Linked DNA regions of Macaca mulatta. The protein of the gene in region 3 purifies or fractionates together with the protein of the main gene of each other region. This does not show direct contact. Links are inferred from orthologs where the notes say so. Each region holds a gene or a part of one and is shown on either strand. Other genes may lie near its edges.

The links.
Region 1: the proteins of OTUD5 (region 3) and SERBP1 purify together in Homo sapiens (affinity purification with mass spectrometry, with the first as the bait; 3 studies listed by BioGRID). This does not show direct contact. The link is inferred for Macaca mulatta from reciprocal best matches to the Homo sapiens genes OTUD5 and SERBP1.
Region 2: the proteins of OTUD5 (region 3) and CTPS2 purify together in Homo sapiens (affinity purification with mass spectrometry; 3 studies listed by BioGRID and IntAct, with this or other methods). This does not show direct contact. The link is inferred for Macaca mulatta from reciprocal best matches to the Homo sapiens genes OTUD5 and CTPS2.
Region 4: the proteins of OTUD5 (region 3) and EEF2 purify together in Homo sapiens (affinity purification with mass spectrometry, with the first as the bait; 3 studies listed by BioGRID). This does not show direct contact. The link is inferred for Macaca mulatta from reciprocal best matches to the Homo sapiens genes OTUD5 and EEF2.
Region 5: the proteins of OTUD5 (region 3) and CNP purify together in Homo sapiens (affinity purification with mass spectrometry; 3 studies listed by BioGRID, with this or other methods). This does not show direct contact. The link is inferred for Macaca mulatta from reciprocal best matches to the Homo sapiens genes OTUD5 and CNP.
Region 6: the proteins of OTUD5 (region 3) and MAGED1 purify together in Homo sapiens (affinity purification with mass spectrometry, with the first as the bait; 3 studies listed by BioGRID). This does not show direct contact. The link is inferred for Macaca mulatta from reciprocal best matches to the Homo sapiens genes OTUD5 and MAGED1.
Region 7: the proteins of OTUD5 (region 3) and KHDRBS1 purify together in Homo sapiens (affinity purification with mass spectrometry, with the first as the bait; 3 studies listed by BioGRID). This does not show direct contact. The link is inferred for Macaca mulatta from reciprocal best matches to the Homo sapiens genes OTUD5 and KHDRBS1.

The regions. Positions count from the first base shown.
Region 1 is NC_133406.1:173,177,831-173,181,920, reverse strand, and holds the start of SERBP1 (SERPINE1 mRNA-binding protein 1), read right to left. Parts: upstream 2,801-4,090; 5' UTR 2,699-2,800; coding exon 2,386-2,698; intron 1-2,385. UniProt on the Homo sapiens protein: Ribosome-binding protein that promotes ribosome hibernation, a process during which ribosomes are stabilized in an inactive state and preserved from proteasomal degradation.
Region 2 is NC_133426.1:16,359,437-16,362,936, forward strand, and holds part of CTPS2 (CTP synthase 2), read right to left. Parts: intron 637-3,500; coding exon 520-636; intron 374-519; coding exon 290-373; intron 1-289. UniProt on the Homo sapiens protein: Catalyzes the ATP-dependent amination of UTP to CTP with either L-glutamine or ammonia as the source of nitrogen. Constitutes the rate-limiting enzyme in the synthesis of cytosine nucleotides.
Region 3 is NC_133426.1:49,032,498-49,036,775, reverse strand, and holds the start of OTUD5 (OTU domain-containing protein 5), read left to right. Parts: upstream 1-1,478; 5' UTR 1,479-2,267; coding exon 2,268-2,861; intron 2,862-4,278. UniProt on the Homo sapiens protein: Deubiquitinating enzyme that functions as a negative regulator of the innate immune system. Has peptidase activity towards 'Lys-48'- and 'Lys-63'-linked polyubiquitin chains. Can also cleave 'Lys-11'-linked ubiquitin chains (in vitro).
Region 4 is NC_133424.1:4,793,804-4,797,761, reverse strand, and holds the start of EEF2 (elongation factor 2), read left to right. Parts: upstream 1-1,158; 5' UTR 1,159-1,233; coding exon 1,234-1,236; intron 1,237-2,255; coding exon 2,256-2,470; exon of another isoform or gene 2,471-2,490; intron 2,491-3,284; exon of another isoform or gene 3,285-3,364; coding exon 3,365-3,546; intron 3,547-3,637; coding exon 3,638-3,849; coding exon of another isoform or gene 3,850-3,917; intron 3,918-3,958. UniProt on the Homo sapiens protein: Catalyzes the GTP-dependent ribosomal translocation step during translation elongation.
Region 5 is NC_133421.1:66,306,486-66,310,770, reverse strand, and holds the start of CNP (2',3'-cyclic-nucleotide 3'-phosphodiesterase), read right to left. Parts: upstream 2,801-4,285; 5' UTR 2,654-2,800; coding exon 2,651-2,653; intron 2,572-2,650; exon of another isoform or gene 2,226-2,571; intron 1,803-2,225; exon of another isoform or gene 1,587-1,802; coding exon 914-1,586; intron 1-913. Other genes in the region: ODAD4 (outer dynein arm-docking complex subunit 4), read right to left, coding at 4,034-4,285. UniProt on the Homo sapiens protein: Catalyzes the formation of 2'-nucleotide products from 2',3'-cyclic substrates. May participate in RNA metabolism in the myelinating cell, CNP is the third most abundant protein in central nervous system myelin.
Region 6 is NC_133426.1:51,813,409-51,816,908, forward strand, and holds part of MAGED1 (melanoma-associated antigen D1), read left to right. Parts: coding exon 1-28; intron 29-671; coding exon 672-1,340; intron 1,341-1,470; coding exon 1,471-1,534; intron 1,535-1,754; coding exon 1,755-1,834; intron 1,835-2,000; coding exon 2,001-2,092; intron 2,093-2,319; coding exon 2,320-2,399; intron 2,400-2,490; coding exon 2,491-2,533; intron 2,534-2,786; coding exon 2,787-2,849; intron 2,850-3,500. UniProt on the Homo sapiens protein: Involved in the apoptotic response after nerve growth factor (NGF) binding in neuronal cells. Inhibits cell cycle progression, and facilitates NGFR-mediated apoptosis. May act as a regulator of the function of DLX family members.
Region 7 is NC_133406.1:208,851,414-208,854,913, forward strand, and holds part of KHDRBS1 (KH domain-containing, RNA-binding, signal transduction-associated protein 1), read right to left. Parts: intron 1,634-3,500; coding exon 1,509-1,633; intron 407-1,508; coding exon 290-406; intron 1-289. UniProt on the Homo sapiens protein: Recruited and tyrosine phosphorylated by several receptor systems, for example the T-cell, leptin and insulin receptors. Once phosphorylated, functions as an adapter protein in signal transduction cascades by binding to SH2 and SH3 domain-containing proteins.

The DNA.
Region 1 (4,090 bases), on a different chromosome or scaffold from region 3:
AAATAAATGTCATCAGTAATAAAGTGTACTGGGGTGGAGTTAAGGAGCCAGTCCTTGCAATAATATCCAAGCCACACACACCCAAGTGAACAATAGTTGGCGTCCCCACCCAATATCAATATTAAGCTTACAGAATCTTAGAAACTTAGATTAAACTCACCTAATGAAAAAGACTGACATTTAAAAATGCAAGCTTCTTTTGATATACTTATGTATAACCTGCAAGCTCATTAACTGCACTAGTTTCAGGCATCCATTCTGTTTTAGAAAATTCCTGGTCTACACTCTCAATGACATTCTGCTATCAATTCTCAAGTTCTTCAAATGGGCAAGAGAAGCTACAAAATTAATTCATAAAACATAAACATTAAATATCTGTCTAAAGTATGTCAAGCATTATGTCACAATGTGTTGTCAAAACCACAGAACACAATCAGGTTAACCTTCCTACTATCTGCAGGGATTTTGTTTACAGATATATTCCCAGTAAATAGGACAGTAGAATCTCAAAACGGGTATTGTCCATTCAACACTTTTCCTGTATTTACATGCTTGTATTTTATGCAACTTAATAAGAGTGCTCTGAAATACTGACCTAAGGAAAATGTTGATTGCTAATATGGAATAGTTTTCCCATGGAAAGACTTATTGAATGGTGAACTTAAGTCTTAGTTCTAACTTCATGAAATCATTCCCCACATTTGTCACTTAAAATACTTTTCAGGTAAGAGCTTATTTCTTAGATGGGCTTCATGATCAAAATAACTCAGGCATTTAAACATGCTTCATGTTTTGAACATTCAAAATGAGTGAACACATCTACCTGGTACACACTATTCGTCAGACTCAACTTTTTGGTTTACTTTCTTAAGCTTAAGCATAGTTTAAATAATTACACAAGTCAGCGTTACTTAACACACGAATTAAATGATTTATTTAGGTGTGTTAGATTGCCATAAAGCTTAATTGGCTGAAGAGATACTTGGCCTAAGTGATGTACATGCTTTCTAATACTCCAACTGTGTTTCTCCTCAACCTATAATTTTACCACAAGAATTATTTTCTTTCATTCACCACCTAGGACCGAGGTTCTTCATTCTAAGCCTCATAAAAGTCCTCAAAAAAAAAAAAAAAAAAACCACAAAAACCAATAAACCTCCTAAAACAAATCCCACCACGAGGAAATTGTTTTGATTTTCAAAATTAGTTGAATGTCACAGAAGTCAACAAAAGCTAATGAGAACTCCTTTCAGAGAAGCACGTGGCAGGAAGGGGTAATTTCAACTTTCAACATATAAATACAGCTTTAAAGATTCAGACCTTAGGTCCGACACCTGCTTGCTATTGATCATGCACGTTCTTATCTTCGAACTACTTGCTCTTTTTCATCCGTAACAAACTGGTAATGAGAATGCAAAAATCAAGACAATCCTGTGAAACTCACAGTGCCCTGGAAGCAACTATTAACCGCCAGTGAAACTCTCACCATGCTTCACGCACATGTGGAGGGGGAAAAAAAAAGCTGCAGACTCTAAAGAGCTCTGCTGCGACTAACGCTGTGACAGCCTCTGCACTCACTTTACCCACGAGGCCCAGAGTCCACCATGTGAAAGACTCAGTTTGGGGAGTCGAGAGAGAGAGGATCGTGACTCGAGGACTTTCCTCGGGACGTCCTGCGATCACCAGTCTTCATTCATAATTCCCGCTTCTGCTTAGTCGAGTGTGGCCAAACTCCTCCATTTCCCAACAGCTCAACTCACCCCAGCAAGTTCTGAGAAAGTCCTAACAGTTGAGAGGTGGAGGAGAAACAATAAAGCACACGCGGCACCCCAACCTGCGGCTGACTCCACACGTCCGATGGCCTGGAACGACCCCCTGCTTTTCGGCGGGGATACTCCGCGCCGTCGTGGGACAAGATGGCAGGACAGGAGCCTGAAACAACAGCACCTCAAAGGAGCAGCTCTGCGCAGTAAGCAGCGATGGACCCCGAGCCCCTCCGTAACTACGGCAAGCGTCGGTGAGCGGCCGGCTTCCCCGCACCTCAGTCCATGCGCTCGCCCGCCAAGGAATCCGGCGGGAAGGCAACAGCCTCCCCGGACCCCGAGCGCGCTCGAGGAGCAGCTCATCTCCGACCACGCTCCTCCGCTCACAACCTAAGGCGGGAAGGGGGTGGCTCCGAGAGCCTCGCCGGCGGTGGCTTCAACTTGGGGCTACCACGCTCCTGGCACCTTCGCAGGACCTGGCTTTTGTCGCGTGAAGAAACGTGAGGAAATAGGCGGCAAAGTCTCCCGCGGACCCTCGGAGCTCCAGAAACAAGTGGTAGCCGGCAGCCCTCTCGCTCCTTCCCTCCATCCCAGTCTCCCCCACATTCTGCCCCTGCTTTACCTTCTTTCTTAAGCGCCACGGGCGGCTGCGTCTCCTCTTTCTTGTCAACCACGCCAACGCTGGGGGGCAGCGGGTTCTTGCGGTCTTTCTGGGACTCCTTGCGCAGCTGTTTGCCTGCCGCGTTGGAGTTGGTCTGGGCCGCGGCCTGAGCTGCGCTCTTGGCCCCGGGGCCCCCAACGCCGCCCCCGCCGGCTTCTTTTTTCTTGTTCTCCGCTGCCTTCAGCACCTCGAAGGGGTCCGATTCGTCGTCAAATAACTGGTCGAATCGGTTGGTGACCACGCAGCCGAAGCCTTCCTGTAAGTGCCCAGGCATGATGGTGGCTCGGCGGCGCGTTCCTCCACGGATTGCAGCGGGCCGCGCCGAGCCAAGAGCGCCTGCTTCAGCTCTTCCCACAAGATGGCCGGGCCGAGAGAGGGGGGCCGTCTTCTCTTCCGGCGCCAGGCACACATCCGGGAGCGGCCAGCGCCGCAAGGCACTGTGGGGTGTGTAGGCCAGAGTAGTTTCTCCTGAGGCGACTCCCTGCGTTGGGACTACAATTCCCAGGATGCACCGCGCGACAACTCTTCGCGCGCGCCCGAGAGGCGGGACCCCAAGAAGGGAGTGAAGCGTGCGAGCTGAAGGAGGGGAAGCGTGGTGGTGGGCGGAGTCCTGCCACCTGCTCTGGTCGCCCTTAAACTCTGTAGGTCTTCAGCTACCCTGAAACCAGAAAAACGTGACGGCGTAGCTGACTCGCGAAAGTGCTCTTTGGTTTCACTCACGCTCCCTCGGGCTCAGGCTAACTTTCCCCACCGCTCCGGGAAGGGTCAAGGTGACTCCCAGACCTTACATCTGAGACGCACAAACTTCCGGGGGAGGGGGTGTTGCTGAGACGCCGCGCCGGCAGCGAGTAGGCTGGACCCTGCCTGTGCCAAGTCCGAGCAGCTCAGTCGCTGGAGTGCCCTTTTGTCAGGCTCCACGGTGAATCGAGGCTCTTCTGTCTAATGTGAGGTGGAATACGTTTCCTCTCGCGGGGACGTGAACTAGGGTAGCAGAACTAACCAAAAAGACAAGTGAAACTATCACATGGGAGTGTGGCGCGTCTTTCCCGGGCTTCTCACCGTGTGGCGGCCGGTGTCGTAGGAGTGGTTAACTCCTGACTGTGCAGCGCTAGACACTGGGCAAGCCGCTAGGAAGCACTGTTTACAGAAACGCTGTTACAGTCATTCCAATTAATTGTCCGTTCGTGTCCGGCAAGTCAGGGCTTAGGTGGCTGTGGTGTTAGTCACATGCGCTCAATAAATACCATTTTAGAGCATTTCGAGTGCGTGTGTGCTAGGAGTTGCGGTGAGGGGTGGGAAATATTGAAGTCAATACTTAATAATAACAAAGCATTGATACTAGTTGAGAATATTAAAGTTCATTAAAAGAATACAGTTTGAATGCATTTTAAGCACATTTGGTAGCACCGTGTTTAAATATATCATAATTTTTAAATCCTTTTCCATTAACACAAAATAGCAAATGCATCTCTGGCAGGAGCTATGAATAACCTTGAACTCAACATTGTGTTAGGCAAATAGTTGCCTCTTTTCACAAATGCTGAAACCACTTCAGAGATGAAATGATTTACCAAATTCACACCTCTGTAAGTGCTAGTGACAGGTATTAGCCCAGCCTTCTACCTCCACTAGGAGACCGGACATCAGCTCTTTAATTCAGACTCTG
Region 2 (3,500 bases), about 33 Mb from region 3:
CACCTGAGGTCAGGGGTTCGAGACCAGCCTAGCCAACATGACAAAACTCCGTCTCTACTAAAAATACCAGGTGTGGTGGCATGTGCCTGTAATCCAAATACTCTGGAGGCTGAGACAAGAGAATAGCTTGAACCCGGGAGGCAGAGGTTGCAATGAGCCAAGACTGCACCACTGCACTCCAACCTGGGTGACAGAGGAAGACTCCGTCTCAAACAAACAAACAAAAAAGAAGTGAAGGGCCTGCTCCCAGAGACCTTTGGGATAGACTTACCCACTGTCCTCAACTCACCAAATCTGGAGACAGGCCTAACCCCCTCAGCGCGCGGACACTGTTTTGGGTGGGTTTGGTTTTTTGTTCTCCGGTAGCACTGAGCTGAAAAAAAATGGGGTCCCGTCAGCACACTGGACACTAGCTCCTATTGATGATTAACGGTGCCCCACGTTCAAATGCGGGACACATAGAATATCACAGGAAAACTTATCAAAGTTGCTGTCCACATACTTATCTGGAAAGCCCACCTGTGGGACAAGGCTAACATGGATATTACAGAAATTCTCTCTTTTCGCCTTAAACTGGAATTGTCTAAACGCTTCCACAAACGGCATTCCTTCGATGTCTCCAATGGTGCCTCCCAGCTGGGAATGGAAAACAAACAAAAAAAGACACAAATGACCACACATCTCTCACAGTACACAAGCTAATAAAAAGAGTTCTTAATAAACCGAGCATGAGAACTAAAGTTTGATGGTTACACAGAGGTTTATAAATACATTCAAAATCACTAAATTGTGGCTGGGTGTGTCAGCTCACGCCTGTGATCCCAGTGCTTTCGTAGCCAAGGGAGGAGCATCACTTGAGCCCAGGAGGTCAAGGCTGCAGTGAGTCGTGATCATGCCACCGCACTCCAGCCTAGCTGACAGAACAAGACCCTGTCTCTGAAAAAATATAAAAATAAAAAATAAAACTTCATAAAAGATTTCTCCACATGTATAGTCTTCAGTAGCCCACTGCTTCATTAAAACTAACAACAAGGCCAGGTGCGGTGGCTCACGCTTGTTATCCCAGCACTTTGGGAGGCCGAGGCGGGCGGATCACAGGTCAGGAGATGGAGACCTTCCTGGCTAACACGGTGAAACCCCTTCTGTAATAAAAGTACAAAAATTAGCTGGACGTGGTGGCGCACACCCAAGTAGTCCCAGTTACTCGGGAGGCTGAGGCAGGAGAATCGCTTGAACCCGGGAGGCACAGGTTGCAGTGAGTCGAGATCATACCATTGCACTCCAGCCTAGACGACAGAGCAAGACTCCGTCTCAAAAAAAAAAAAAAAAACAACTAACATCAAATCTCCTTAATGCAGCCAACAAAAGGCTCTCAGGACCTGGCCCTTGCATTGAGTCTCCAGTGCCATCCGGTCCCCTCCCCACTGGCCTCTTGGGTACTCCATGCTCTTCCTTCCTGCCCCTCAAGGCCTCCTACCCTCCTTCTTCATCTACAGCAACCTCTTTTTATCCTCCAGTCCAAGAGAGATGCATCCTCCCTGGAGGGCGGACTCTGACCCCACCCCTCCACCTACAGCAGCCTACATCCCACTAGCCCTTGTCACAGCACTGTACGCATCCTAGGAACTCAGCACAAGTTGCCTCTATTTCATTTCCGTCTTTGTTGCCTGGCTCTCTACCCCACTAGACTGTAAGCCCCATGAGGGCATAAGCCCAGTACCCTGCAGGCAGCACTGGAGGTTTACTTTAGTAGTCAGGACAGGACAGAAAGGTCCTGAAATTCAATATAAGCCCTAAGTAACGGTGTTCTAGCACCTGTTACCAAAATTACAACAGAACCAAAGCCAGGGCTGGGTGCAGTGGCTCACGCCTGTAACCCCAACACTTTGGGAGGCAGGCATATCACTTGAGCCCAGGAGTTTGAGACCAGCATGGGCAACAAAGTGAGACCTTGCCTCCACAAAAACATAAAAAATTAGCTGGGCATGGTGGCACGGCACCCATGGTCCCAGACACTCAGGAGGCTGAGGTGGGAGGATTGCTTGAGCCTGGAGAAGTCCAGGCTACAGTGAGTCATGATCATGCCACTGCACTCCAGCCTAGGGGACAGAGTGAGACACTGTCTCTTTAAAAAACAACAACAACTCAACGAAATGAAAACATCACATGCAATCAGGAACTTGGCAGGAGTGAAGAAGCGAGTCTAAGTACCCACTAAATACAAGGCACCAAAATCTAATTTTTAAAAATCATTTATTTTCTCTAAGGAAAAATAGAGGTCTGCGCTTAAACTAAACCGTATGCTTCCGTCCTGTGTTTTGATGGGGATTCTCTGGGGGGGGTGGTCAATAATAGTGAATGCGAAAAGGAAGCCAACTTTAAACATTATCCGCTTCTGCCCTCACGTGGTCAACAGTGGTACTACAGTCTCTCTGCTAATTCAGAAGTTCCCATTACCATACCTCTAGGTCACCATCATTATTGTGTTCAGAAACTTTCAATACAACTATTGGAAAAGTTTGAAGTTAACTGTTGCCCCAAATAAAAGGGAAAATATCACCCATAACAATACTTTATGCTGAAATGGAAGCAGCAGCAAATTTATGAGATGTGCAAAGTTGTTTTTGCCTGTTTTAATGAAAGGAGTCTTTTTCTTTCTTTTTTTTTTAGAGACAGTGTCTCGCTCTGCCACCCAGGCTGGAGTGCAGTGGTGAGATCATGGCTCACTGCGGCCTCAAACTCCTGGGTATAAGTGATCCTCCCGCCTCAGCCTCCCAAGTAGCTGGGACTACAGACCTGCACCACCACACCTGGCTGAGTCTTCTTTTTTGGAAAATAAGAAGAGAGAAAGAAACATGTTATTCCTTTAAGACAAGCATCAATTATTTCAGGTTCATGCCAAGATAACTCGTACTAATATAAATAAAACCTGTCAGCTCCACTGGTCTGAGAAGTTGAGGTCTCACTCATAAAATGGCTTTGAAGACATTTCAACAGCTCCTCTATGATTAAAACTGAAAATCAGCTTTGGCAGTCCTTCTTCAAAACCTTAAATGGTGCACAGACACAGCTGTTGAACACAATTTACAATGAACCAAAGAAGATGTTGACCACTAGTATCCAATAATCAAATATAAACATCAGGGTTATAATGGAGAAGGGGTTCTGTTTGTCAGTTTCCCTGTTTCCATAAAATTTAAAATCCAGCCAATGAGGTCCTGGAGAGCAGGAGTCAGATCACACTCAACCTCACATCCCTAGCAGCTATCATCAGGGCTAGTACATATTAAGTGCTAAATTAATCATTGTGAAGGCAAACAAGTCAATCCAAAGGTAGAATAAGAAATAAAATTAGAAATTTGCCAGGTTGGCCAGGCACGGTGGCTCACACCCGTAATCCCAGGACTTTGGGAGGCCGAGGCGGGTGTATCACCTGAGGTCGGGAGTTCAAGACCAGCCTGACCAACATGGAGAAACCCCGTCTCTACTAAAAATACAAA
Region 3 (4,278 bases):
ACACAACAGGCCTGGTAAACATGAAAGTCCCCTCCTCCCATTAAGTCTCATGAGCAGAAAACACTACTTAGAACCCATTTATTACTTACACCTTTCAGGGAAGAACTTCAACTAGGGTTAGTATCTGAAGGGAGGCAAGGCTATACTCAAAACAGCTTTCCCATGGTCTCTTTCAGTCAACCTGTTGTATGGCTTGTCTCCTAAGACTGGAAGTGAACTCCAAATACCTTCTTGGTTCATCAGCTCATCTGAACCCCATAACCATTCCCTGAGGTAGTCTGGGCAGGCATTATCATTCCCGTTTTACACATGGGTAATCTCAAAAGCAACACAATGACTTGCTCAAGATCATACAGTTGGTAATGGTCCATCTGTGCCTGGAACTGAGGTCTTTCTGGCTCCAAAGCCTACGATCCTTCCACTGCACCACCATGCAGACTACTTTATTGAACACTTCCTATGTGCTGGGCACAACACCAGGCCCTTCAGAAGCATTAATCTCTGATCCTCAGATTGGAATTATCATTGCCAATTTATAGAATAGAAATTGAGGATGGGTGCTCACTTCGCACCACATATACTAAACTTAGAACGATACAGAGAAGATTAGCATGGCACTATGCGAAAGGATGACACGCAAATACGTGAAGCGTTCTATAAAAAAGTAAACAACAATAACAAAAATTGAGGACGGGGTGGGAGTTAAATGACTGACAAAGATCAATCAGACAGGAAGCGCAGAGCTAGAATTAGCGTGTAGCTCTCCAGCTACTCAATAGCAGGGATTCTGCCAACCCCATTTCGAGACGCTGACTGGTGACAGAGCTGATTCATAAACCTCGATCGACCCAAGCAAACTCAGTTTTAGAAAAAGGCTGGGCTTGGCCAGGCGCGGTGACTCACGCCTGTAATCCCAGCACTCTGCGAAGCCGAGGCGGGAGGATCGCTTGAGCCCAGGAGGTGGAGATCAGCCTGGGCAACATAGCGAGACTTTGTCCCTACAAAAAAGTGAAAAAAAAATTAGCCGGGCGTAGTGGTGCGCGCTTGCGGTTCCAGCTATTCGGGAGACTGAGGCGGGAGGATCGCTTGAACCTTGGAGTTGGAGTTTGCAGTGAGCTATGATCGCGCCACCGCATTCCAGCCTGGGCGACAGAGTGAGACCCCCGTCTCGATTAGAAGGGGGGGAAAAAAAAAAAAAAAAAAAAAAAAAAAAAAAAAAGGCTGGGCCGCGCCTGCGCACTAGCCATAGGGCCGGGGAGGTCAACCCGAGGGCGAGAGTGCTGTGGTGCCAGAGAAGGCGTGTCTGTTTCCCAAACAACCACTGTCCCCACGGTGCTTGTCTGTCCCAAGGTTGGTCGGTATGACGCGAGTGACGGCGTCTTTTAGCCAATCACCGCAGAACTCAGGCTGTTGCCGGGGTGAAGCGGTGTCCGCCTCCCCCGGAAGGATATTTGTAGGTGGGTGGGACCGGAAGTGACGCTACAGGGGAATGCTATGCTCTGGGAGTGTTGATGTTTTCCAGTCATTCCGGCTGACAGCGTTCAAGTTGGAAGCCTGGAGGGGAGGTGTTTTTCCTGTCGTACGTGGGACAGGCCACGCTGTCCGTCCGCAGTACCGACGACTGCGAGTCAGAGCTTCGGGGAGAAAAGTGAAGAGCAAGACGGGACCGACGGGGAGAAAGGCTGGGAACCAGGGTGTCGACTTTGACTGAAATTTGAGACGGAGGGCACCGGAGGGCGAGCACTCGCCTGTGATTGGCCCGTGGGCGTCGTCGAGGACCCACGCAGCTGCTCAATTGGTTGGTGTTCGCAATTGTTGTGGCTGCGGCGGCGATTTTGCCCACGTACTTCCGAGCAAGGGGCGGGGCTGTGCCCTGGCGCGCGTGCGCAGCGCCCCGGGGCCCCACCCGGTAGTGCAAGAACCTGCGAGGGGGCGGAGCGAAGAGGTGCTTGTTTTGGTTCTGTTTCCTTTGAAGCAGAAGGCCGGAACAAGCGTAGCAATAAATTTGCTGGACTTGGAGAGAAGGTTCCGACAAACTCGCCGCACTGCCTTCATCTTGGACTTTACATCCGGGTTCTCCTCCCGGCGTGACCCGCGCGCCGCCGCCGCCGCCGCCGCCGAGGGTTCTCGAACCGGTGCCGCGATCCCTTTATCCGGGTTTCGCCGTTCCCGTCGTGCTTAGCGCACTACATTAGCCCCCCCTCATCCGGGTTCTCTCCCGGCGTGCCTCGCGCCGGGTTTGTTGGGGGGTACTCGGCGGTGCAGCCATGACTATACTCCCCAAAAAGAAGCCGCCGCCTCCCGACGCCGACCCCGCCAACGAGCCGCCGCCGCCCGGGCCGCTGCCCCCGGCGCCGCGGCGCGGCGGGGGTGTGGGCGTGGGCGGCGGCGGCACGGGCGTGGGCGGCGGCGATCGCGACCGTGACTCCGGCGTCGTGGGGGCCCGTCCGCGAGCTTCGCCACCGCCTCAAGGCCCGCTACCAGGACCGCCGGGCGCACTTCATCGCTGGGCGCTGGCCGTGCCGCCTGGTGCAGTGGCGGGTCCCCGGCCACAACAGGCTTCTCCACCTCCTTGCGGGGGCCCAGGTGGTCCCGGCGGCGGTCCCGGCGACGCGCTGGGCGCAGCGGCGGCGGGTGTGGGTGCCGCGGGCGTGGTGGTGGGTGTGGGTGGTGCCGTAGGCGTGGGCGGCTGCTGCTCCGGGCCTGGGCACAGCAAGCGGCGACGTCAAGCTCCCGGGGTTGGCGCGGTTGGCGGGGGCAGTCCCGAGCGTGAGGAGGTCGGCGCAGGCTACAACAGTGAGGACGAGTATGAGGCGGCTGCAGCACGCATCGAGGCTATGGACCCTGCCACTGTCGAGCAGGTAAGAGCTGCGGGATGAGGGGTGGGCGGCTACGGCAGATGGGACCCCCAGACTGTGAAGAGCCTCAAGGAAGGCTGTTTGAGATCGCCCCAAGGGATTTAGGCGTTTTCACTGGGCCTGATAGTCTTCTCTGGTGGTAGGGGTGTGAGATGCCTTCTTTCCTCCCCTCCAGGGATTTGGGGCTAGAGGTCTACGATAAGGTGGCAGACTTAAAGATGGGATCCGAGGCCTCTTTTAGGGTCTGTAATCGTCATTTCAGTCCTTGGGACCTCATCTTGTAGGGCCAATAGGTGGGAATTCTCCAAGAGACACAGGTAGGATCGCGCCCCTCTTGAGCAGGAGTCTCAGGTCTTCCAAAAGACCTAGGTCTGTGTTCAGTGGCTTAAGAGCTCTTTTCCTTTGGGATAGAAGTTTGAGATTCCTCCTCCAGGAAAGTCAAATAAGGTGGAGACCTCAGAGATCGGGTCTGAACATCCCCAAGGAGCCTAAGCCCTTTCAAGAGTCTAAGACACTCTGCATGTAGGACAGTCCTCTCCTGCTTCGCTAGGTAACACGGCACAGGACCACTGAATAGCCAGACCTGAGACCTCAAGGGTCCTAAGTCTGTCTTCAGGGGCCTGAGAGTCCTTATTGTAGAATCAAGGTCCTGACACACACAGACACACACACACACACACACACACCCTTTAAGGACAGGGATCTTCTAAGCTTTTTCCAGGGATGTAAGACTTTTCGCAGGGAGATATGATTCCCTTGCCCTTGGGGACAGGGACCGAAACCAACACCCAAGGACCAGCAGCTTTACTTGAGTACAAGAGACTCATCCGCTTTCTGAGTGACAAAGGTCTGCATTTCCTATCAGTGGCTGAGACCTACCTCTTCGGAGACAAGGCCCTGACTCTCTTCAGGATCTTAAGCTTCTTGTAAGAAGAGATGGGCCCTCAGCACCCCCACCAGGGGCCTGAACCTTTCTTCAGGAAAATGAAGACTCACAGCGTTGGATCCTAGGGCCTAAGATCTATCTGCTTATGGACTGAGGTTTTTAGAGACCGAGTCTGAGGCCTCTTTGGGGGCGTGGTGTTCTGCTGCAAAGGTCTCAGACAAGGTGAAGCCTTAGGAGATTCTTCTTCTTAAGACTAGTGTCTGAGTGGTTTTGGGGGTCCGAGACTCCCTACCCCACAAGCATATGTGACCTTTTTACCCCAATTATAAGGGACTGAAACATACCTTGGGGATACAGTATCTCATTTTCCCTTTTGTAACAGGGGTTTGAGGCCCTCCCCTCTTTGGGCCTAAGCTTCTTGTCAGGGACATATGACCCTTGCCTTGGGAACTTGAGCCTGAGACTACTCCTCAGGGGACATGGGCAACATGGGATCCCAGAGATCATGTCTGGGGCCTCCCTACAGATCTCTGC
Region 4 (3,958 bases), on a different chromosome or scaffold from region 3:
CCCAGGAAAAGCACTGCAGTGGCTCTTCTGTTTCACAAAGTGAGTTTAGGGAAAGACGTGCCGCAGGGGGTTCATTTGCACTGCGAGAACATCATTCATGCAAGAAATACTGAGTACCTACTATGTGCTAAACAGCGGGCTGGGCTTTTCATAAGGAATAGAGATACTCAATTGAATGCCAATTCATGAGCTATGAAACACATTCAACTGTTTCTTAGGGTCAGATTAGGACACAAATGCTAAACAGTCTTCCTGCGCCTCCCCCTGGAGAGGAAATGAACTAGAAAATGAAATTGTGCCAGTAAAGCGCTTAGCCGGGTGCCTGGGACATGGCAAACCAGTCCTGAAATAAATGTTTTATTAATAGCAATCTTAGCTAATTAAAATACATAGCGTTTATTGAGCGTTGGGTATCAGGCACGGTGCTAATTCTTTTAGATGTCTTTAGTTCGTTTTAGCCCACCTCAAACAAGAGTGGTATTGATCACCTCCGATTTACAGACGAGGAAACTGAGGCAAAGAGAAATCTTAGTAGTTAGTAGAAGTGCACGCAGTGTGGTCAAGCTAGCAAGGTGTTTTGTCCACTGCTGTATCTACAAAACCTCTAACAATGCCTGGTGCATAGATGCTCAGTATGCATTTGTGGGATCAGTGATTCCGATGCCTGCTTCTTATAAATCTTTTTATTTTGAAATAATTGCAGGTAAGGAGTTGAAAAACAGTATAGTGGTCGCGAGTGTCCTTTTTCCTTCTGCTTCTCCCAGGGATATCGGCTTACATAACAACGCCCAAACCGGGAAATTGACTTGGGTAAAATCCACAGACTCTATTCACCTTGCAATGTGGCTTTAATAGAAGTGCTGGACATTTTGTAAGCTGATATCGTTGCTATGGTTCTTATTCTCAGCTAAAACGGCGCTCTTTGCTTTGTGCACCTGAACACTGCATACCGAGGGCGACCACCATCCCCGAGACGCCCAGACTGTATCCTAAAGCAGCCTCGCCAGCGCCGAATGGGTTAACGGGGGAGGTGTGCGGGAACGCCTCCGTGCGCTTGCGCGGCGTCGCTTCGCCCCGCCTCCGCAGCGCAGTCACATGACCCGCCCAACCGGCGTCCGCCTATAAAGTGCTGAGTGTTGACGTCAGCGTTCTCTTCCGCCGTCGTCGTCGCCATCCTCGGCGCGGCTCGCTTCATTCGGTTCTACCTGGGAGAATCCACCGCCATCCGCCACCATGGTGAGTAACCCTGCCTCGCTGGTGTCCCGGAACGGCGGCGGGACCTCCGCGGGGCCGACGCTGCCTAGACGCTGGGGCCGCCCGTGCCGGGAGGAGACGTAGCGGCGGCAGAGCCGGAGGAGCCGGGGCTGGGGCAGCGGTCGCCGCCATGTCTGTGCGCCGCACTGTTCACGGAGCCCCTTCTCCGCTTCCGGGGGCGCCGTAACCTTGCCCAGACCTGGCTGGAGCTGGGGTGTTAGGGAGGATGGGGGTGGGGTATGATGATGTGGCAGGCGTTGTAATGGCGGGCACCGCGGTGGAAGCGGGGAGACGGGGAGGCGCCTTATGTAACTCGCGGGCCGCGAGTTTGAGATCGATTTTCTGCCGGGGGACTAGGGGCGGCAGGGAAATGGCAGAACCAGCAAAGCGACACCTGAAAGGTTCCCCTTTTCCTCCCAAATATCTTCTCCTGATGCTGTTAACTGTCGGCCCTAGGCGCTTGTCCTTGTGACTCCGAAATGTGCAAAGACTCGTTTTGAGACACGAGGTGTAGGCTTGTGGCTGTTAGGGCCGTTCCGGCTCCCCGTTATCTCCTGGGGTGGGTGGCCTTGTGTGATCCCTCTTGCCGAGGGGTGACCTTGCATTTTATTATGACAGTTTTTGGTCGGGGAAGCCTGGGTGGCCCAATGACAACGTGGAGGGGGCTTTGGGAGAAGGTTCACCCCTTACGTGTTTGGCCTCTAATAACTCTTTAGTGTTTATATTCGGTATCAAGGAAATCTGTTGCCACTGAGTTTTATTTCTGAGCGCTTTTATTTCTGGGTTGTCCGTTCTGGATGACATCTGTTGACAGTGGATCCTTGGAGATTGTGGGGTAGTTCTCAAGGCGTGTTAGGCTGGCAGGATTGGGTGGGCTTCGGGTACCCCAACACCAGTCCCCTCCTGGCCTTGGGCATGCTGGTTCGTTTGGACCGAACGCTCCATGCCAAGCCGTGTTCCTGGAAATCTCGAGCTGGTCTGAGCCTCCCCTTCTTGCCCAGGTGAACTTCACGGTAGACCAGATCCGCGCCATCATGGACAAGAAGGCCAACATCCGAAACATGTCTGTCATCGCCCACGTGGACCACGGCAAGTCCACGCTGACAGACTCCCTGGTGTGCAAGGCGGGCATCATCGCCTCGGCCCGGGCCGGGGAGACACGCTTCACTGACACCCGGAAGGATGAGCAGGAGCGTTGCATCACCATCAAGTCAACGTGAGCTCCCTGTGCCCTCTGTACCCAGGCAGGGAGGTGCTGGCCTGGCAGCTGGAGGCCACTGGGCCAGGGTGGGCGGGGAGAGACTAGGCAACGTCTCTTTCTCCTGGTTTCTTAATTCATGGGAGAATGAGTGAGGTTCAGTCCAGCGAGACGGGGATTAAGAGTCACAGGGATTGGGGGTACTGCGAGCCGGAAGATTTTCTTGAGGAGGGGCTTCACTCAGTGGTTCTCCTTCCCTGGGGGACTTGCCGCCACTCCTACAATATCTGGAGGGGTTTTGCTGTCACACCTGGAAGGGGGGGTGTTTCTGGCACTCAGGATGCGGAAAGCTCTTGTGTTGCACTGGATGGCGTTCATTCCGTGACAGTTTCTGGCCCCTGACGTGAGTGGGGTGAGAGTCTAAAACGTGAGCGCAGAGCACAGTGATCCCAAATGCCTTTTGTCCTGGGTTGGCACCATAGTGAGGGTCTCTGGCTAAAGCTCTTCATTTTCACTGGAGCAGGGGCAGAAGTGAGGAGGGAAGGGTCAGAGTCTCTGAAGGCTTTTGCTGTCCTGCGGGGTCTTTTCATTGCTACTTTGAGTCAGGTGTGATGAGTCTTGGGGGGACCAAGTCGGTGGGGCAGAGTGTCTGGTCAGGAGGGCTCTGAGTCGCTGGCTGTGGGGCTGGTACCAGGAGTTCCCTGTGGGGGGGGCGGGGGGCCTGTCTTGGACAGAGTATTGTGGAGGCAAAGGACAAGGGTGGGTTGGGTCTTGTGGGTGGGTTGGGTCTTGTGGGAGCCTCTCAAGGGATGAGTCATGGAGGGAGGAGCAGCCTGGCTTCTGACAGGATCCCAGCCTCCCTGGGCCAGGTGTGTGCATCCTGTCCCCCTGATGGATCCCTCCCTCCATCAGTGCCATCTCCCTCTTCTACGAGCTCTCGGAGAATGACTTGAACTTCATCAAGCAGAGCAAGGACGGCGCCGGCTTCCTCATTAACCTCATCGACTCCCCCGGGCACGTCGACTTCTCCTCGGAGGTGACCGCTGCCCTCCGAGTCACTGATGGTGCATTGGTTGTGGTGGACTGCGTGTCAGGTAAGCAGCGGGTCCCCCTGAGGCAGGGCCTAGAACCCGGGGCCTTCCCTGTTTGAGGATGACAGCGCCGCCCCGTGCCCTGCATCCCTAGGCGTGTGTGTGCAGACGGAGACAGTGCTGCGGCAGGCCATTGCGGAGCGCATCAAGCCTGTGCTGATGATGAACAAGATGGACCGTGCCCTGCTGGAGCTGCAGCTGGAGCCCGAGGAGCTCTACCAGACCTTCCAGCGCATTGTGGAGAACGTGAACGTCATCATCTCCACCTATGGCGAGGGCGAGAGCGGCCCCATGGGCAACATCATGGTACGGCCCTCCCTGGCTGGGTGGTGTGCCCGCCGCAGTGGGCACCGCAGGAGCTGGCGGGGAGCGGAGTTGAGCTGAGGGGACTGGAAGTGTGTTTTTGCCAGGAATG
Region 5 (4,285 bases), on a different chromosome or scaffold from region 3:
GAGGCTGAAACAGGAGAATTGCTTGAACCTGGGAGGCAGAGGTTGCAGTGAGCTGAGATAGTGCCACTGCACTCCAGCCTGGGCGACAGAGGGAGACTCTGTGTCAAAATAAATAAATAAATAAATACAATTGGGGGCAACCAGAAATGGCCTAAAGGCATATAGATGGATTAGTGGGTGACATTTCTCCAACAGGTCACTGCAGGAGAGCCACCAGGACCCCTCTTTATCCCAAACTTACCATTGGAGCAAAAAGCCCATGCCAAGAGAGAACCCGGCTAGAGTAGCCAGAGTCCAGGGTTCAAGCCCGTAAACCCCACATCCCTCCTGGGCCCGTGTTTTTCCATCTGAAAACAGGTTTTGGCCTAAGTGTGTGTCCTCTGGAGCTGTAAGATGCCACAAACCCATGAGTAAATCAAGTAGCCCAAGGCCTGAGAACCATCCCCAGTGAAGCCACAATAGTCCTAGTTTTAATTTTTTTGCAGCTTACAATTTCATGTCATTATTATTATTTTGGAACATTATTCTGCTGCTAAAAATGAGTTGGAGAACACTGGGCTTGATTCCCCCTCTAAGGTTACATTAGAAGAGGACTATTTCCTGTTACTACAGTTTTTCCGACCTCCAAGACGGGACGGTGGTCTACATTCAACCTGGGAGAAGGGTGTCAGAGAGAAGAGGGCTAGAAGGAAAGGTGTAGTAGGAGGAAAGGAGCTCTGGGAAGCCCCCATGTTCCCAATGTGCTGCCAACTCCCCAAGGCTACCACTGGGACATACTGCTTGCCCCTGCCCGCTCTGAGGTGAGCCTTTCTCTGCCTCCTGCTGCTTCGTGCCCCACCCTATGGTCCTATGCCCACAGCGCCCTGTGCCCAGCAAGGTAGGCTTATGAGTAAGGCCCCACCCTGCCACCTACATTGTCGCAGCTCCTTCTTGAAGGCCTTGTGGTTCCCCAGCTCTTCCAGGAAGACCTGGCCGGCTTTGCGGAGGATCTCGGAGCTCTTCTTGGACAGGAACCAGCCGAAGTAGAGCGGCAGGAAGTCCTTCTCCAGCCCAGGCTTCAGCTTCTTCAGGTCATCAGCCGACAGCTGCCACTGGTTCTTCTCCTTGAGCTGGGCACAGTCCAGCCGCCACGCCGTCTTGGGCTCCACCAGCACCACCTGGTACTGGTACTGGTCGGCCATTTCAAAGAGCTGCTCCAGCCGTTCCCGCTCGTGGTTGGTGTCATCTAGCACAAGAATTCTGATATCCCGGCGGCGGCAGTAGGCAGCCAGGTCCTCATCGAGCCGCTTGTACTCCTCGGAGAAGGCTCCTCGAGCGCCGGGGGTGATCTTGTAAGCGTCGGCCGACACCATCTTGGTGCCATCACGGTACTTGTCCACGATGGCCCGTGCCAGCGTGGACTTGCCGCTTCCTGGCAGGCCGCGCAAGATAAAGAGCGTCTTGCACTCTTGCAGCGTGGCCACCGTGTCCTCATCCTGAAGGAAGGGAAACTGCAGCTCAGGCTTGTCCTTGGCCCCTGAGGATGACATCTTGCGGAAGAAGATCTTGGGCAGGAATGTGTGGCTTTTTCGGGAGAAGCCTCTGTTCTGTGTAAGGAGGGGAAGAGATGTCAGCCCAGGTCATTCGCGGGCTCCCCGCCGGCCTTACCCCTAGTCCCTAGACTGGGTGTGGGTGCCTTCCGAAGCAGGGCAGTGCTGGACCTTCTGTCCCTTTCGGTCCGGGAGCACCTTTCCGCTTCTGGTCGTGGAGGAGGAAGAGGGAAGCTTGTCTGAAGCTCTCCTAAGCGTGCGCTTTCCCCATTGCTGCCACCTCGGAAAGGAAAACGTGCTGGAGGCATGCAGGGCGTGCCAGGAGCCTGCGGTTCTGGGACTGGCCTCACTCTTATATGCTTGGCACCTACTAAGGACGTCTTCTTTGGAGGTGGGGGTCTCTGTGTCTGGGCCAAGCCACAGCTGCCACGGCTGAGTGCACAGAGAAGGGTGGGGAGTGGAGAAGGGTTACCCCAAGACTGCCTCCCTTCCCCCAACAATGGCCGCAAGAGATAATACTCTCTTGTCTGGCATGCGGGGACAATGGTCCCACAGAAGGGCTGGTGGGGGGCAGGGCAGGAGAGCACTGGACAAAGGCCCTCTTTCACCGAGCCTGCCACCTCCTCCTCTACCCTCTCCCGGCCCCCACAAAGTCGTGGTCTTTGTGCCTGTCCAGGACAAGGCAGCACAGGGCACCTGCAATCAGGATCCAGCTCTGCCCGCCGCTGTGCTGTGTGTCTGAACCGCCTCTCGGAGCCACTTGTTTTCCTATCTTCTAGAAGCCACAAGAGAGGGCAGCTTTTACCGTAAAGGGTCCCCTCCTCCGAACTGGCTCCGCCTCCCGCGCGCACCCGGGCGCGGGGCAGCGGTTCCGCGTGATGAGACGGTCCCGAGTCCCCTCTTGAGGAACGCTACCGTTTCCCTCTCCAGCGGCCTCTCCGGCACTCCGAACCCCCCGCCCAGCTTCTTCCAGACCTCAGGGCTGCCCTGAGTACCAAGACAACTGGAAGTCGAGCCCGGAGCCCCGGGTCCTCGTTTGCAAGACGCTTCCTGCCGAGGGGCCCCGACACTCGTTTCCTGCCCCGGTGCTACCCCGTGCCCGGCCCCGCCTGGCCTCTCACCATGATGAGGAGGGGCGCCGCCGTCGCCGCCTCTGTCGGCACCAGCGCTCCGGGGCCGCCCGCCTGCGCGGAGGGACACGGGAGTCCAGCGGTGGCACGACCCGAGCCCGGCCGCTTTACATAGCCCGGGGGCGGAGCGGGCACCCGGGCGGGCCGGGGCGGGCCGTCCCCTCTGCGCGCAGGCGCTGCGAACCGAAACCCGAAACTCCCGCCGCGCGCGGGAACCCCGGCCCGGCCCCGCCCCCTGCGCGCGCCCGCCGCGCCACGCGCACCCACTCACTGCGCCTGCGAGCTGGACGGCCGCTACCTTTTTCTGTGTGTCGAGGGGTAACTCAGTCGCCCTCCCCGGTCCCGTGGATTAGCAGGAAGTGAGTGAAGCAGGGTCGTGCAAGGTTGGATCCTATCTTTAATTTTTGATATTTTATTCATCATGGACTTTTGCATTAATTAAAAACTTTTTTTTAAACCACATTGGATTAAAGTATTATGCAATTTGCTGGCATCCCGGTAAACTCTGCATCTGAAATGCCTCACTGACCTCGTCCGGTCCCTGTGCCAGCCGAAAGTCAGTCTCAGCCCCGACCTTTCCTTCTAGAAGTTGTGGAGACAGACCAGGATGGCAATGGCCAAAGGGACAGATGAGTAACGGAGTGAAATCCTAACATCCTCTGAGGCCAGATGCTCAGCTGCCACCACCTCTGTGAAACCACTGAGAGCTCCGTTGGATTTTTGAGTTTCTTGTACCAAGTGCTGTGCTAAGCACTCAGTCCTCGCAGCAACCCCTGAGGCAGGTATCCCATTGTTCAGAGAAGCCAGCTTGGCGAGCCTGATTTACCTGATTGTGCCACCCAGAGTTGTCAGAGGTGGAGTCTGTCTGCCCTCCCAGGCCACTCCCCTATCTTTGGCCTCAGTCCCAGCATTCGCTTAGTTCTGGCTTGGGGCATTCTCCTGCCTGTGCTAGCTGGGGCCACCCCACCACTGTTCCATCCATAAAGCCTCCCGGTGTCCTGCGCACTGGAAGGACTCAGTCAGTCACCGGTGTCTGGGAAGCACCTCTCCTCCCAGGCCTTCCCCTCTCCTCCTCCCTGTGACTTCTCATTCCCTGAAGCTCCTGTATCTTCACCCTCCTGAAACCCTTTCTTCTTGGCACCTTTCTCTCCACGAGGCTCTTCCAAGAATGGGCAGGGGTGAGGAGACAAAGTGACAGACTCAGGGTTTGCAAGAGTGAAAGACACCTATTTAATGGCAAAATAGTGACGGAAAGCAGCACAAGTAAAACCCTCATTTTTCCTATTACAGATAAATCGCTTGAAAATCCAGTTTAATAAGATCCCGTTATCCCTCTGAACACCAACTTCCTGATCCTTATCCCTACCGGTGTCTTCATTCATACTCCTTTTCCATCTCATTTTCTGTTTTTTTCATTTCTCCTATTTCCCCAAATTGTGTTTTTCCCAGTTCTTCTGGCTCTCTTCTGCCCACTTCTGAAAGTTTATTTAGTTCTTCTGGTTCCTGTCTGCTGAACTCTCCTGAGAGTCTTTGGCCTAATTCTCCTGAAGGCCTCCTATAAATTTCTCTTGACTCTCTTCTGCCAGCTTCTAGTAGCTTCCTGCCTGTTTCTCCTGATCTTGTGCC
Region 6 (3,500 bases), about 2.8 Mb from region 3:
AATAATTCGGGGCAAGAGGACCCGCAAGGTGAGATCCCTGCTAGCTTCACTTTGCTTTGGGGCTCTCTCCTTTCTTCTCTGAGGGTGTTCGTTTGTTCAAAACAATGTATGTAACTGTATTCAGCTAGGCTATAGGCCATTTGAAGAGAATGTTTATTCCTGTCCTCCGGGTGTTCACAAACTGATGGGGAGATAATACATGGGCACAAATAATATATACAACCTGTATGTAATTCAGTTTACATTGTGTTAGTAACTACCGTGTGTTAAGCCTTGAGCTAGGCACATTCACACGGGTTGTCTCATAAAATCTTAAAGGCACCTCCTACCAGGTAGGGATCATAGTCCCAATTTTACAGAGAAGGAAATTAAGTGGCAGAGAAGTGAAGTGACTTGAGTGATTTGTTCAGGGTGGTACAGACAGAGCCAGTGGTGGACATAGGAAGAGGAGAAGCCTCAGTCCCCATCTTTGGTTTGTTCCTGACCTGGTTCGGAGATGAAACTCCTGCCTGGAAGACAGTGAAAGACAAACCCAGGACTCAGGGTGACCAATGGCTAGTGGGTCAGGCTGTCACTACAGGTGAGGGTTTAGAGGGCATTCCTGGAATAGATAAGGTAAGGACACAGAACCCACTGGTGATTCTGAACTTTTCTTCTCTCTGATGATACAGATTAATAACTTGAATGTTGAAGAGAACAGCAGTGGGGATCAGAGGCGGGCCCCACTGGCTGCAGGGACCTGGAGGTCTGCACCAGTTCCAGTGACCACTCAGAACCCACCTGGCGCACCCCCCAACGTGCTCTGGCAGACGCCGTTGGCTTGGCAGAACCCCTCAGGCTGGCAAAACCAGACAGCCAGGCAGACCCCACCAGCACGTCAGAGCCCTCCAGCTAGGCAGACCCCACCAGCCTGGCAGAACCCAGTTGCTTGGCAGAACCCAGTGATCTGGCCAAACCCAGTAATCTGGCAGAACCCAGTGATCTGGCCAAACCCCATTGTCTGGCCTGGCCCTGTTGTCTGGCCGAATCCACTGGCCTGGCAGAATCCACCTGGATGGCAGACCCCACCTGGATGGCAGACCCCACCAGGCTGGCAGGGTCCTCCAGACTGGCAAGGTCCTCCTGACTGGCCGCTACCACCCGACTGGCCACTGCCACCCGATTGGCCACTTCCCACTGACTGGCCACTACCACCTGACTGGATCCCCGCTGATTGGCCAATTCCACCTGATTGGCAGAACCTGCGCCCCTCGCCTAACCTGCGCCCTTCCCCCAATTCGCGTGCCTCACAGAACCCGGGTGCTGCACAGCCCCGAGATGTGGCCCTTCTTCAGGAAAGAGTAAGAGCTGTAACTCCCCAGTCACTTTTCCCCTCTCTTGCTCTTTTCTTTGTCACCCTCTCATCTATAATTCAACCAAGATTTTTTGTAAATATCTTATAAGTTTAATGATTTCCTTTTTCCCTCCCAGGCAAATAAGTTGGTCAAGTATTTGATGCTTAAGGACTACACAAAGGTGCCCATCAAGCGCTCAGGTAGGCATCCGTGTCCCCTCCCCAAGCTCTACCCTTCCCTTCACTCCATGCTCTGTTGGTGTTCTTCTGCTTGTATGACCCTTCCCCTTCTGTCCCCTCCTTTCCATGGTTGGCTCTTTTCACCCTTGAGGACCTTGACTGTGCTACCCACAGGCTGGCAAAGGGACTGCTGCTCTGTGGCCTCCACTCGGCTCAGATGGCTCCCTCCTCTCTCTTACAGAAATGCTGAGAGATATCATCCGTGAATACACTGATGTTTATCCAGAAATCATTGAACGTGCATGCTTTGTACTAGAGAAGGTGAGAAGGCAGCCCTGGGGGACAGGAATAATGGGGAAAGTTGATTTCAAAGATTCATGGGGTTCCTATTGGGAGTTTAGGGCAAGTCTCAGGGAGGTGAGTGTCTGCCTATGGGTAGCTTATGCTAGATGTTGTAATTTCATGGTCTGTTTTCTTGTCCCTGTAGAAATTTGGGATTCAGCTGAAAGAAATTGACAAAGAAGAACACCTGTATATTCTCATCAGTACCCCCGAGTCCCTGGCTGGCATACTGGGAACGTAAGATGGGAAAGAAGGTGGAGCATGGCCTTTCTCAGTGGTGCTTTTTTTCTAGGAGTTTCACATAGATCAGGGTCCAGGGTTCAGGGTCACATAGCAGGTCATGGGCAGAGCTGGGGTATAATTCTCCCCTAGCTGAGGAATACTGGGGAGGCTAGATGGGTAAGCTGGTTGGGGTCTCTCATGCAAATGGCTGCTGAAAATACATTCTTTCTATATTCCCTTAGGACCAAAGACACACCCAAGCTCGGTCTCCTCTTGGTGATTCTGGGTGTCATCTTCATGAATGGCAACCGTGCCAGTGAGGGTGAGTGACTGGACCTGCAGCTGGGGGTTGGCCACAGCCTGATTTCCATGCTTATTTTCCGTCCCTTGTCTCCCCTTGCCTCCCATTGCAGCTGTCCTCTGGGAGGCACTACGCAAGATGGGACTGCGTCCTGGGTATGATTGGGCTCTCTCATCTCTTACCCGTTTGTACCATCCTTTGGCAACAGTGGATGGTCCCAGGATTGCATTAACCTGGGGGTCTGGAGGGTTTGGTTTGGGGATGTTCAGAGCCCAAAGATGTAACCTGGGTGGATGGGGGAACAGTTCTGAACTCTCTGCCTCTTTTCTCATCTCTGACCTCTGTTCTGGAAAGCTCTTTGGGCATAGTAATAGCCTCTGATTGTGGATTTCCTTTTTTTACCTTCAGGGTGAGACATCCCCTCCTTGGAGATCTAAGGAAACTTCTCACCTACGAGTTTGTAAAGCAAAAGTAAGTGATGCCTAAGGGGCTTTTCCTGCTCCCTATGATTCTGCCTGTGTGCTGGTCAGCTTTAGAAAGCCCTTCCTGGACAGGTACAATGGCTCACGCCTGTAATCCCAGCACTTTGGGAGGCTCAGGTGGGCAGATCCCTTGAGCCCAGGAATTCAAGACCAGCCTGGGAAACATGACGAAACCCCATCTCTACAAAAAATACAAAAATTAGCCAGGCGTGGTGACATGCACCTGTAGTCCCAGCTACTTGGGAGGCTGAGGTAGGGGAGAATCATCTGAGCCCAGGAAGTTGAGGCTGCAGTGAGTTGTGATCATGCCAACTGCACTCCAACCTGGGCAGCAGAGCGAGACCCTGTCTCCAAAAAAAAAATAAAAGAAAGCCCTTCTCAAGCTCATTTCTTACACTGTACCTGTGCATATGTGTTTCTGTGCGTACAGAAACGTGTGTCCTCAGGAGTATTTATTGCATATACTCCTCGTGGTTAGATTCTTTCTTTTCTTTTCTTTCCTTTTCTTTTCTTTTCTTTTCTCTTCTCTTCTCTTCTCTTCTCTTCTCTTCTCTTCTCTTTTCTCTTCTCTTCTTTTCTTTTCTTCTTTTCTTCGAGATGGAGTTTCACTCTTGTTGCCCAGGCTGGAGTTCAATGGCAT
Region 7 (3,500 bases), on a different chromosome or scaffold from region 3:
TTTCAAGTTTTCCCAGACAATCCTACCAATGCACAAGATGCTACTGCTCTGTCCATTACTATGCAGTCAAAAGTCCAAAAGAAAACTATCACCAGGGCACACCTAGGCTCTTCCAGGGTTGCCAAGCAAGTAAATTAACTTGGTGTATAATCTCTTGCACCCAATGCACACTTAAAGGAGCCACATTCTGTACATACACAATATTCTTGCCTCTATAAGGCATCTATACTGCATTCTGGGCAAGTAGAAGGCATTAGGATGTCCTCTTGCCTCACTAATGTGAGCTTACCTTGGCTTTGTCTCTCATTGAGCCCTTTCCCAACACAGAGATCTTTGCACCAGTCTCTTCCTGCAGTCTTTTGATTGTATTCCCTTGTGGTCCAAGAATCTTCCCCACAAAATTGAACTGACAGAAAATAAAGGATTTCTAAATATACATGCTACTATATAAAAACATCTCCACATAAATTACCTCATTTGATTTTAAACAACCCTGCAAAGGTAGAGTATTACCATTCCCGTTTTACTGAAGGACGCTGAAGCCATATTAATAAAGTGATTAGTTTAAGATTATGAAACTAGAAAGTGGCAGTTCCTAGACCTGAATTTGGCTTTTCTGATGTATTCTGGCCATCTTCCATAATACACTAAGACCTTTACTATTTTATTTTTTACTTTATTTTGAGACAGGCTCTCACTTTGTTGCCCAGGCCAAAGTGTAGTGACATGATCATGGCTCACCGCAGCCTCGACTTCCTGGGCTCAAGTGATCCTCCCGCCTCAGCCTCTGGAGTAGCCGGGACTATAGGTGCACATCACCATATCAGGCTAATTTTTGTATTTTTTGTAGAGATACGGTTTTGCTATGTTGCTTAGGCTGGTCTTGAATTCCTGGGCTCAAGTAATCTGCCTGCATTGGCCTCCCAAAGTGCTGGCATTACAGGCATGAGCCACTGTGCCTGTTTATGCATGCCTTAACATACATAAACATTGTTAACGCAGTGACCTCAGAGCAGAAGAGACTATATAGCACCCTTTGATAGCACGCTGGATAAACTAAATGTAACTAATTGCTTTCCTAAAAAAAGAAAAAAAAAAAAAGGAAGAAAAAAAGCATTTACTTAAAAGTAAACTTTTAGTAAGAAAATAAAATTAACTTCATCCAATTGAGGATTTGTATTATATTTCCTTTTATTTAGATTTCAGGTTAGTCTTTTGACAGAGAGCAACTCTTCAGGTTTTATTTTTTTTTTTTCTTTGAACTTGTAGCCTGAGCAGTCATTAGAGAAAGAAACTTTTTGATAATAAAAAGATTATTACATTTCCTTCCTGGCTATAACTATGTTTAGTTAAGAACTTAGATATTTCAATTGCCAGAAACAGGTACTGCAAGCATGAAAGAGAAGCTTCACAGGCTTAAGTTTCTAAAGCATCACAATCCCCAGGAGTCCATGACTCTCTCGTAACTATAAAGATAACTCAAAGATGCAAGGCACTTTTTGCCTTACCTTGGGATACTGCTTGACAGGTATCAGCACTCGCTCTTTCAGTTTCATGTTCTTATGAGAAAATAAATCCAAGTAATTCTCTTCATCGTCCTTTTTTGAGTCTCCTTTCTGAATCTTCTCAATTTCTGAACAGGAAAAACAATTTAAATTTTTGCTCTGGTAAATAAAAGCAAATTTTGAAGTCTGCTTAAAGCAATAACATGAAGTACCATATAGTGAGACCAAATAGTACACATGAATGTGCCAATTTCAGAAATAAACTAGCTGAAAGTACTAAAGTTATATGAAGTTGATTAGAAAGCCCAAAGCCTGCTTCTAATAAAAGTAGTGTGCTCTTCTAACCTCACCTGAAGCCTCACGTGAGAATAGAGACATTTAAATGTTTCTTAAATCGATTTAACAAAATTAATTGGGTGAGATGGGGAAAGGAGAATAAAGAAACAAACAAAAAATTAAAATCTGCATCAAGACAAAATATAATCTTACCTTGAAAAAAGCAAAAATCAATAATCTAAATATACAATGGATAGTTCCATTAAAGTTCCACAGTGACATTAGTACTCTAGATACTAGTCCTTAAGAGTCTGAAAGACCTTGTTCTTACTCTGCTACTCACTAGTTGTGTGACGTAAGAGAAGTTAATAAAATATGTAGATATGCCTAATTAAAGGCAATTTTTCATAAAGTACTTAATATATTGTCACCATTATCTAGCCCAAATTCAGCCAATGTCTAAACGATACAAAATGCACCAGGTACTTTTTTGAGACGGAGTTTCACTCCTGTTGCCCAGGCTGGAGTGCAATGGTGCAATCTTGGCTCACCGTAACCTCTGCCTCCTGGGTTCAAGCGATTCTCCTGCCTCAGCCTTCCAAGTAGCAGGGATTACAGGCATGTGCCACCATGCCCAGCTAATTTTGTATTTTTAGTAGAGACGGGGTTTCTCCATGTTGGTCAGGCTGGTCTTGAACTCCCGACCTCAGGTGATCCACCTGCCTCAGCCTCCCAAAGTGCTGGGATTACAGGCATGAGCCACCGCGCCCGGCCCAGCCACAAGGTACTTTCTAAAAAAACATTTTATTGAAGTATAACTGATATGTAAAAACCCATACATAATTAATGTATACAATTCATGATGAGTTTGGAGATAAGTATACACCCATGAAACTATCACCACCATTATGGCCACAGACATATCCATCATCACCCAAAAGTACTTTCAATTCACAGGTTAAGACAGTTTCATTAGATAGAAACTTGGCATACAAAAAGATTTCCTACTGGCCGGGCGCGGTGGCTCAAGCCTGTAATCCCAGCACTTTGGGAGGCTGAGACGGGCGGATCACAAGGTCAGGAGATGGAGACCATCCTGACTAACACGGTGAAACCCCGTCTCTACTAAAAAATACAAAAAACTAGCCGGGCGAGGTGGCGGGCGCCTGTAGTCCCAGCTACTCGGGAGGCTGAGGCAGGAGAATGGCGGGAACCCGGGAGGCGGAGCTTGCAGTGAGCTGAGATCCGGCCACAGCACTCCAGCCTGGGTGACAGAGCAAGACTCCGTCTCAAACAAACAAAAAACAAAACAAAAACAAAAAAAAAAGATTTCCTACCATTAAGGAACTTCATTCATTGAGTGACTGCAAGTGTTTGAGTGCTTCCTACGGTATGGAGAGGCAGATGAAGGGAGAGCTATAATAGGTACAATCATTAATCACTATGGAGGACTTACTAAGAGCCAGGCATCTGTCTTGCAAAGCACAGGAGATACAACAGAGCGAGTCAGACTGGTCTCTGTCTTCACTGTTTATATACTGGAGTTCCCAGACTATAGGGGTGGCAATGAAGTATAGTTAAGTGCTATAACAGGAGTTCTAACAGAGATGAGGGAAAAGTGCCCAAGGAATGAGCAGCAACTGAAAGCTTATATGATTCACTGAGAATAGTTAAAATACATATACTCCCTAAAATCAGTGGAACATTCTAAATATCAGA